Cricetulus griseus: one gene and its partner. The protein of the gene in region 1 binds, or shares a complex with, the protein of each later gene. Links are inferred from orthologs where the notes say so. Each region holds a gene or a part of one and is shown on either strand. Other genes may lie near its edges.

Region 1 (4,305 bases):
GACTACACAGTGAGATCCCAGGGTGGTGGGGTTGGAGGGACCAGAAAAAAATGGCTCAGGAGTTAAGATCACTTGTGTACTTGCTACTCTTTTAGAGGACCTAGGTTAGAGCCTCAGCACCTACATGGTGGCAGATATGCTGCACAGATGGAGCACAGACACACACACACAGGAAAAATACTCATATAAGTAAGACTAAAGCTTTTCAAAAGAAGGAGCTGGGCAGTGGGGACACACGCCTTTAGTCCCAGCACTCAGGAGGCAGAGAGACAGGTGATCTCTGTGAGTTTGAGGCCAGCCTGGTCTCCAGAGCGAGTTCCAGGACAGAATCCAAAGCAATACAGAGAAATCCTGTCTTGAAAAAACAAACAAATAAATAAGAGAGTTTAAAGAGTGATTGAAGAAGATACCTGACGCTGACATTGGGCCAGTATACAATACAGATTCATTACATGCATGCACGCGCACACACAAAATGACTAAGCCCATGTTCTCCTGGAAGCCATCTAAAGCATCTCCCAGTTCAGCCCAAAGGGCCTTCATCTCTCTCTTACCTCAGAGTGTCCTGACCTTCAATCCAGAACTTAAAATGTGTCCCGTTTCCCCAACTAATGAGTTACCTGGGAGTAGGGAACCTTACTCTCCAGAGCACCAAAACATGTCAACCTCACGGTCAGCATCTCGAAGGCTGGCCGACCCACAGCAAAAAGGATACAGTCAGCATCAACACACCACACAGCTCCACCATGGCCAATGTAGGTGCCCAGCCTCTCGCCATTCACAGAGTACCACACATTGACGGTCTGGAAGAGTAAAATGAACAGGATGGGTCACACCCCAGAAAAGGCAATAGCTTATCTGGTCCTACGAATCCTCTGTAGACTCCAGCCAAGCCAAGTCTGCCTTCTGCTCACTTATTAGAGGAGAGCTGATAAAAGAAGACCAGCTCCTGGTTTTCCTCTCTTCCTAAAGGGAAGCAGTATTGACACTAGGCCTGCAATAGCATCCTCACTATCTACTTCTGTCTGGACTCATCATCTCTCTGAACAATCAAAGGCCAAGATGAGTTCTAGTCTAAAAAAAAAAGAAAAAAACTTTGGTGTCCTGAACAATCGGGACAGATGACAGTGAGGATGTATGGGCTCTAGTGCTCCTTTGTCACTTACTATGATTTTAAATTCAGTGCTTCTTCCCTCTGAACTTTTAGCTTTGTCTTTTTCTGTTGGTTTGTTTGTTTGAATCCTATGTAGCCCTAGCTGTCCTGGAACTCACTCTGTAGACAAGGCTGTCCTCATAGACCCACCTGCCTCTGCTGCCACGTGTTGGGATTAAAGGCGTGTGCCACCACTGCTCAGCTAACTTTGTCATCTTTAAAAGGGCTAGAGAGCTGGCTCGTCCTGATGACTTGGGTTTGATTCCCAGCACCCAGACGACAGTTCACAGCCATCTGTAACTCCAGTACCAGGGATCTGATGCTCTCGTCTGGCCTTCTCAGGCAGGAGCATATACACTGCAAATATAAACTGCAGGGAAAACACCCATACTCATAAAATAAACAAACTCTTTACACATAAATATACATATTTTAAAGGGTAAAGACAAGCCATGTGGCCAGGCGTTGGTGGCACACGCCTTTAATCCCAGCACTCGGGAGGTAAAGGCAGGTGGATTTCTGTGAGTTCGAGACCAGCCTGGTCTACAAGAGCTAGTTCCAGGACAGCCTCCAAAGCCACAGAGAAACCCTGTCTCGAAAATAAAACAAACAAAAAAACAAAAAACAAACAAAAAAAGAAACCCTGTCTCAAAAACAAAAAAAAAAAAAAAACAAAAACAACAACAACAAAAAAAGACAAGCTGTGTGTGTGTTTGTGTGTGTGGTAACACACACCTATATTCCTAGGACTGGGAGGCTGACACAGGAGGATGGAGAGGCACAGACCAGCTCAGAAAGATACCCCATCCTTGACAACAGCTTTCTTTAAAGGGCAGCTGTGAAGCTCCAATAAAAATGGCTAAGAAACATAAAATGTAAGTGACTAACATACACCAGGTACAGTGAAAACCTATTTACAAGAATGACCTCAATTTGTTGAGGGAGGTAAAGTTCCCTGTTTTATTAAAAGGGAAAATAGTAACTTAGAAAGGCTAAATGTCTTGTTCAATGTCTCACTGCTGGCAGGTGCAGGAGTTAGGACTCACATAAAACTCTGACTTCAGACTACCCAATGTTAACCATCAGTTAACTGTCTCCATGTGCAAATGCCTCAAAAGGCAGTACCAAAGAGTGCTGCCCGGAGATTCAACATGGGACTGAATAGACAAGCCTAGGAACAGGCCTTTTCCTCCTTTTTTGGTGCTGGGGATCCAACCCAGGGCTACAACCCCAAGACCCCCATCATGACACATGGGTCAACTTTATCCTCCAGACTCTAGAGGTTGTCCGTTCTGGTTCTTCACATCCTCGAGTCATTAGAGCACATCCTCTCCCAGTCCCCAGTCTCCCTACCACACAGTTTTATTTTTCTTCTCCGTGGGTACGCTTTCCTATCAACCATCAACTTATCTTAGGTCTCTCAAGCAGAATCCGTTTCGCTACCCTACCCGGCCCGGCAAGTGTGGTTTTCTCTGCTTTTCAGAGGAATTAATTCCCCTCCGGCGGTAAAGCTGGTGCACCCACTGTCTGGATGGTGCAAACTCGCCCCTCCGGGTGCCCCACCCCGCCCCGCCCGCCCGCCGGCCCCGGGTCGCGCGGCCGCTCACAGGGTCTTTGGCCACGGTGAAGAGGAGGTCTCCTTCGCGGTTGTACTTGATCTGCGTGATGGACCGCTCATGGCCCTGCAGCAGGATAGGCTTCTGTGGGGACAGAACGGGAGTGTCAGTGCCGGGAACCCCGTCCCATGCCGATTGGGACCCCAAGACGGCAGCACCACATGCATGGAACTCACCATCCCGGCGGTGACGCGAGCAGAGAGGCAATGTGAGTGGGACCGGAAGAGGACTAGGGGCAACTTCCGGATGCTGGGACTCCGCCCCCTGGATCCCGGAAGTAGAAGGTCCTCGCGTTGCCATGGCGGCGTCTCTGGGTGGGTAACCGGCCCCGCCCCTCCGTGGGCACCGACTCCGGCTGGGGGTGCTCGCTCACTCCACCGGCACCCCTGAGCCCCGGGCCTGCTCGGCCCCCTTCGGTGCGGGAGGGAGATGGAGACGGTCCGCCGGGCCGGAGGAGGCCGGGGAGCGCCTGGGTGACTCTGCTCCTCTGCTTTCAGGGCAGGTCCTTGCTCTGGTGCTGGTGGCCGCCCTGTGGGGTGGCACGCAGCCGCTCTTGAAGCGGGCCTCCGCCGGCCTGCAGCAAGTGCGGGAGCAGACGTGGGCCCGGCAGCTGTTGCAGGAGATGAAGACTCTCTTCTTGAATACCGAGGTGGGTCTGTGGACTGCTGCTCCCTCGGACGAGCCGCAGAGCCAGAACCCCAGCCCACCTCCTACTCGTTCGCAGCTTCGGCATTATCCTTGCTAAAATGGAAACTATATGATAACCTAAGTGAGGGAACGGGCGGTGGTGGCACACGCTTTGAATCCCAACACCCAGGAGGCAAAGAAAGGCGACCTCTGTGAGTTCGTGGCCAGCCTTCTACAGAGCAATTCCCAGACAGCCGAGGCTACACAGAGACCCTGTCTCGAAAAACAAAGCAAGGGGCTGGAGAGATGGCTCAGCGGTTAAGAGCACTGGCTGTTCTTCCAGAGGACCTGGGATCAATTCCCAGCACCCTCAAGGCAGAGCACAGATGTCTGTAATTCCAGTTCCAGGGGCAAAACTGTACTTACTACTATGAAGTAGTATACGTAGCAATGAAATGGTTGGGGGTGGGGGTCACCAGGACATGAGGAATTGTATTAAAGGTCCCAGGATTGGGAAAGCTGAGAACGACTGTGTTAGAAGGTCAGATAAGACTGTTGGGTGAGCAGGAAATTGCTGACAGATTTCTCCTCTTTCCAGTACCTGATGCCCTTTCTCCTCAACCAAAGTGGCTCCCTTGTCTACTACTTGACCTTGGCATCAACAGGTGGGCCTCTGGCTTGGACCTCCTCTGGGTCCGTATTTTGCCAACCTTACACCTGTCAGTGAGGGAGAATACCTGTTTGGGCCCTTGGGCTCACGGGTAGTAGGGTGGTTATGAGTGTGTGGCCAGACACTAGGGCTGGTCTGACAGCCTCGTGCAGTAGCAGAACAGGGAAAGTTCATTTTGCCATAAGTGCTGACTTGTTTTATTTATGTTGGGGGGTGTGTTTGTGTGTGTGTGTGTGTGT
Region 2 (4,424 bases), on another chromosome or scaffold:
GAGCTCAAGAGCCTCCTGGGAAGACGAGACTTCCGCTGTCTCAACTCTGTGACTCCTGCCCCAGAGGCAGGTGTCCAGAACCACAGAGGGCTTCTCCTCCTGCCGCCCTCTCATAAGCTGGGACTTGCCCAGAGCTTTCTCTTTAAAATTTTGTTTCATTTTTAAATTTAAAATTTCTCAACAGTGGTACATTTTAGAACTATTACATAAACTGAAAACAAGTTTTTCAGTTTTCAAATTCCTGGCACGTTATCTTTTTGAGATTCAGGGATAAAAGGTTAGTATTCCCAAGTAGGCTCAGAAATGTCAAAATTATGGTATTTAGAACATAACTTTATGCTCTATAATCTGAGTAGCTGAAGTTCTGTTTAAAGGATAAAGGACGCTGAGTTTAGCAGTGCTTACAAAGAACTATAACTTATAGGTATATTCACTGAAAACAATTTAGAAATCAGGTCTTACAGTGAAACATAAAATTAGAAACTCAGGTCCGAATCCTTTGGGAAGCACACGTGGACACTGTCCACCTAAGGGCTCATTTCACATGGAAGATGTGTTACACCTTAACAGGGCCTTCCACAGCTTTTCTGGGACTCCTCCATAACCTTTTCAAATAGTTACGCCTCTGTGTTTCCATAGGACACCCTGCTAGCAGAACAGTCATCACATCTCCGTTTCAGGGACTCTGTTTCCATCTTGAGTTTAAGGTTACAACAGTGTTCCTTTGACTAATTTTGAATTCGAAGTACCTAATGGTTTTATGGTACATGAAAATCACTAATGATTTCATTTAGCCAGGCAAAAATCTTTTACAAATTACTGTCAACCTAAGAAAAGTCCAAGTTCCTACCAAGCACACATTGCTTCATTTGTTTTTCCATCAACAACTCAACTGTTCTGTAGCAGTGGGAGCACTGAGCAGGATCCAGTCTGACAAGAGAATCCACAGATTACAGCTGCCTTCCTATGATATATGGGGTGAAACATAAACCTTGATAGACATTTATTCCTCTAGTTAAACAGCTCCAGAGACTGGAAATTAGATAGTATACCCCAAGTATTTGTTAAGTGGCAAGTCACTGATACAAACATTTTTTGTTTGTTATAGAAGTTCACAGTAGGGCAGTTACAGAATGTTAACACACTGAGAGGTTAAAAATAGAGGGAAGTTAGGATTACAGTTGTAGAACTGAAATAAAATGGTGGAGAGCAGGGAAGAGACTTGTGGAGGAGAAAATGCCAGTGTGTTTTGATGAACAACAATGTAGCAACTCCTAAGTCTTTGTAAAGTGCTATACTGCCTAAGAAATTTATGGTGGGGTGGTATGGTTTTCATATCTAGTATATGGTGACTGAGAGCTGCTGTACCTGAGGTGTGTCAGCCATTAGCTGCTTTCTGTAATAATTTCATTCACACAAAAACTGTCTGCTAAAGTCCCCAAAAGAACTAGATCTTTGGTGATTTGTCCCAAGACAGCTAATAATTGCTGAAGTCTGACTATATATCCTGTTCTCTTTGCAGCACTCGAATGGTCTTCCATGGTACGAAAACTGCTCCAAGATCACCAGTAAGAAATGGTGTGGAAGGCCAGTGTTTAAAAGCTGTCACTAAGGCAGAGTGCAAGCAAGTCTGACAGGACCAGCAGTCCCCAGAGACAGAAATGTATTCAACAATCTTCAGTGCCTTTCAGTTTTACAAACCACCTTAACATAAACTATCTGTAACACAGGCAAAGGAAAGATTACTCTTCATTTTAAGGTTGCTTGTAAACAGGTAATACCATTGCTTGCATGCAAATGGAAAAGTAAGAGTGAAGTGGGGTAGATACTTGAACCCGAGCATATACAGGTTTCATTCCACAAGAAACTAGTATCAAAGAGGTTCTTGCCACTGAGCATCTGTCTTAAAAGTTCGGGATTAAAAGAAAGTATTAAATATCCGGAATAGGTTCTGAACAAACCTGGTTTACTTGTTCAATTGGGGGAAGCTTTGACATATCCTCTTCCCTTACAAGGGTGGTGGGTACGTGTTTGTGTGTTGGTTAGTCAGTGGATATGAGGGTAAATGTGGATACTGTGCTTACAAGAGTCAAGAGCTTTGCACTTCTTGCTGGCTTTTGAACTCATTTTTTGGGAACATGCACTCTCCGTACTTCGCTGGTAGGAGTATAAAATAACATGTAGATCAACTACCACAAACTACTCAATAGCTCATACCTACTCTTTGGACATTTCTGTCGCTCAACAGCGATTCGGCAGGATTCAAGACACTTGGGAAGGCAAGCCACATCGAGAAGATGCAAAAGAGCAACAGGTTAAGACTTCAGTGGTGATGTAGCGAGAGGAAATAGTGAAAACAGGAGGGAGATGACGAGAAGAAAACACTCATTTCTCCAGCACTCACCCAGCAGGGTTCCGATAACCCGGGCAGCTCCCTCGTTGCGTCTCTCGTAGCTGTCTACGATGGAAGCCAAAATGACCGGGTGCAGCCTGACCACGCGGCCGCCGGGGAAAGGCCCCGGCAGGGCGGGCCCGGGCTGCGAGGGTGCCGGCGTCTGCGCAGGGGCTGGGGCAGAGGCCGGGGTCTGGCCCGCAGCGGCAGGCGTAGCTGCCGCAGGGTCGGAGGACGAGGCGGGCGCCGGGGCCGCAGCGGGAGTCGCAGCCGGCGCCGGAGCTGGCGTGGGCGCTGCCGGGGCTGAAGCCGGGGCTGCGTTGGTGGCCGGCGCCGGGGCCGCGGTCACAGCGGCGGGAGGGACACTTGCCGGTACGGCCGGGGATGCCATGTTGCCGAGAAAGAGGGAACCTAGAACGGAAGGGCGTGAGTTAGGAAGTATTAGGAACTTGGTTGGTTGAATTTGTACCACGTGAATCAGCTCTTGCTGACTATTGGGCACTAACATTTCCGGCTGGTTGTAAGTTTTAGTGAGCCGTGTGCGTTTTAATGGCCGTCCATGCGCACTCAGTGAGGAGCAGGCCAAAGTAGTTCCTAGTGACTCTGGGACCGCCTGAGGGTGGGGTGGGGTGGGGTGGGGGTGGGCAGAGAGAAACAAATAGCAATCTACTCAGTTGCCACCAGATGGCGGCACAGAATAGTGTAAAGGTCGCATTTTTTTTTTTTTTTAAAGATTTATTTATTATGTATACAACATTCTGCCTCCATATATGGCTGCATGCCAGAAGAGGGCACTAGATCTCATTACAGATGGTTGTGAGCCACCATGTGGTTGCTGGGAATTGAACTCAGGACCTCTGGAAGAGCAGTCAGTGCTCCAAGCCATCTCTCCAGCCGCCCCCCCCCGCCCCCCGCAATTCTTTTTTTAGACTTAAATTGGATATTAAATGTCAAAGGGGCTTTTAAAGGGCCTCTCTCCCTCCCCCCTCCTCCCTCCCTGCCTCCTCCTTCCTCTCCCCCTTCCCTCCTCCCTCCCTCCCTCCCTGCCACCTTCCCTCCCTCCCTCTCTCTCTCTCTCTCTCTTTCCTTTTTCTTTCCTTCTCTCCTCTCCCTCCATCCCTCCGACCCTCCCTCTTTATTTCCTTCCTTTGCTTATTTTTGAAGTCAGGGTGTGTGTGTGTGTGTGTGTGTGTGTGTGTGTGTGTGTGTGTGTATACTCATGAGTGCATATGACGGCCAGGCATTGGATGTCCTGCTCTATCACTCTATCACTATTCCCTTGAGACCTCATCCCTCACTGAACCTGGAGCTAGGCTGGTAACCCTAGCAAGCCCTAGTGATCCTTCTGTTTCACTGCCCACAATGCTGGGGTTACAGGCTCCAGTGTTACCACACCTGGCTTTTTATGTGGGTGCTGGGGATTCTACCTGAGGTCCTTATGCTTGCACGACATGTGTTCTTACCCACTGAGCCATCTCTCCAGCCCCTTTAAGGTCTTTTCTTATTGGCATAAATTCTTCATACTTGGACAGTATTTACTTCCACCTATTCCCTCCCTTTACTCCTCCCCCCAATTATTCTTCCTGTTTGTCTTTTTCCTCACCCAATCTTCTTTCTGCATATATATATTTCTAGGGGCTGGAGAGATACCTCAGAAGTTAAGAGCACTGGCTATTCTTCCAGAGGTCCTGAGTTCAATTCCCAGCAAACACATGGTGGCTCACAACCATTTATAATGAAATCTGGGGCCCTCTTCTGGCCTGCAGGCAGAACACCGTATACATAATAAATAAATAAATCTTTAAGAAAAATTCTAGGATGCACAGTGAGGGAAACTGTGGTCTATATACACAGTAAGAGGAAACTCTTCTTTTTATTCCTGTTTTTTAATTTGAATTAGAAACAAGATTGTTTTACATGTCAATCCCAGTTCCCTCTTCCTCCCCTCCTCCCCTACCCCTCCCAACTAAAACCCTACCTATCACATACCCTTTCTGCTCCCCAGGGAGGGTGAGGCCTTTCATAGGGGGGT

What was found.
Region 2: Eif3i (region 1) and Eif3f share a complex: the UniProt entries of both Homo sapiens proteins name them as parts of the eukaryotic translation initiation factor 3 (eIF-3) complex. The link is inferred for Cricetulus griseus from reciprocal best matches to the Homo sapiens genes EIF3I and EIF3F.

The regions. Positions count from the first base shown.
Region 1 is NC_048595.1:23,434,137-23,438,441, reverse strand, and holds the start of Eif3i (eukaryotic translation initiation factor 3 subunit I), read right to left. Parts: upstream 3,068-4,305; 5' UTR 2,949-3,067; coding exon 2,946-2,948; intron 2,854-2,945; coding exon 2,761-2,853; intron 804-2,760; coding exon 716-803; intron 1-715. Other genes in the region: Tmem234 (transmembrane protein 234), read left to right, coding at 3,068-3,083, 3,267-3,418, 3,995-4,061. UniProt on the Homo sapiens protein: Component of the eukaryotic translation initiation factor 3 (eIF-3) complex, which is required for several steps in the initiation of protein synthesis.
Region 2 is NC_048596.1:91,829,533-91,833,956, forward strand, and holds the start of Eif3f (eukaryotic translation initiation factor 3 subunit F), read right to left. Parts: upstream 2,812-4,424; 5' UTR 2,784-2,811; coding exon 2,405-2,783; intron 1-2,404. UniProt on the Homo sapiens protein: Component of the eukaryotic translation initiation factor 3 (eIF-3) complex, which is required for several steps in the initiation of protein synthesis.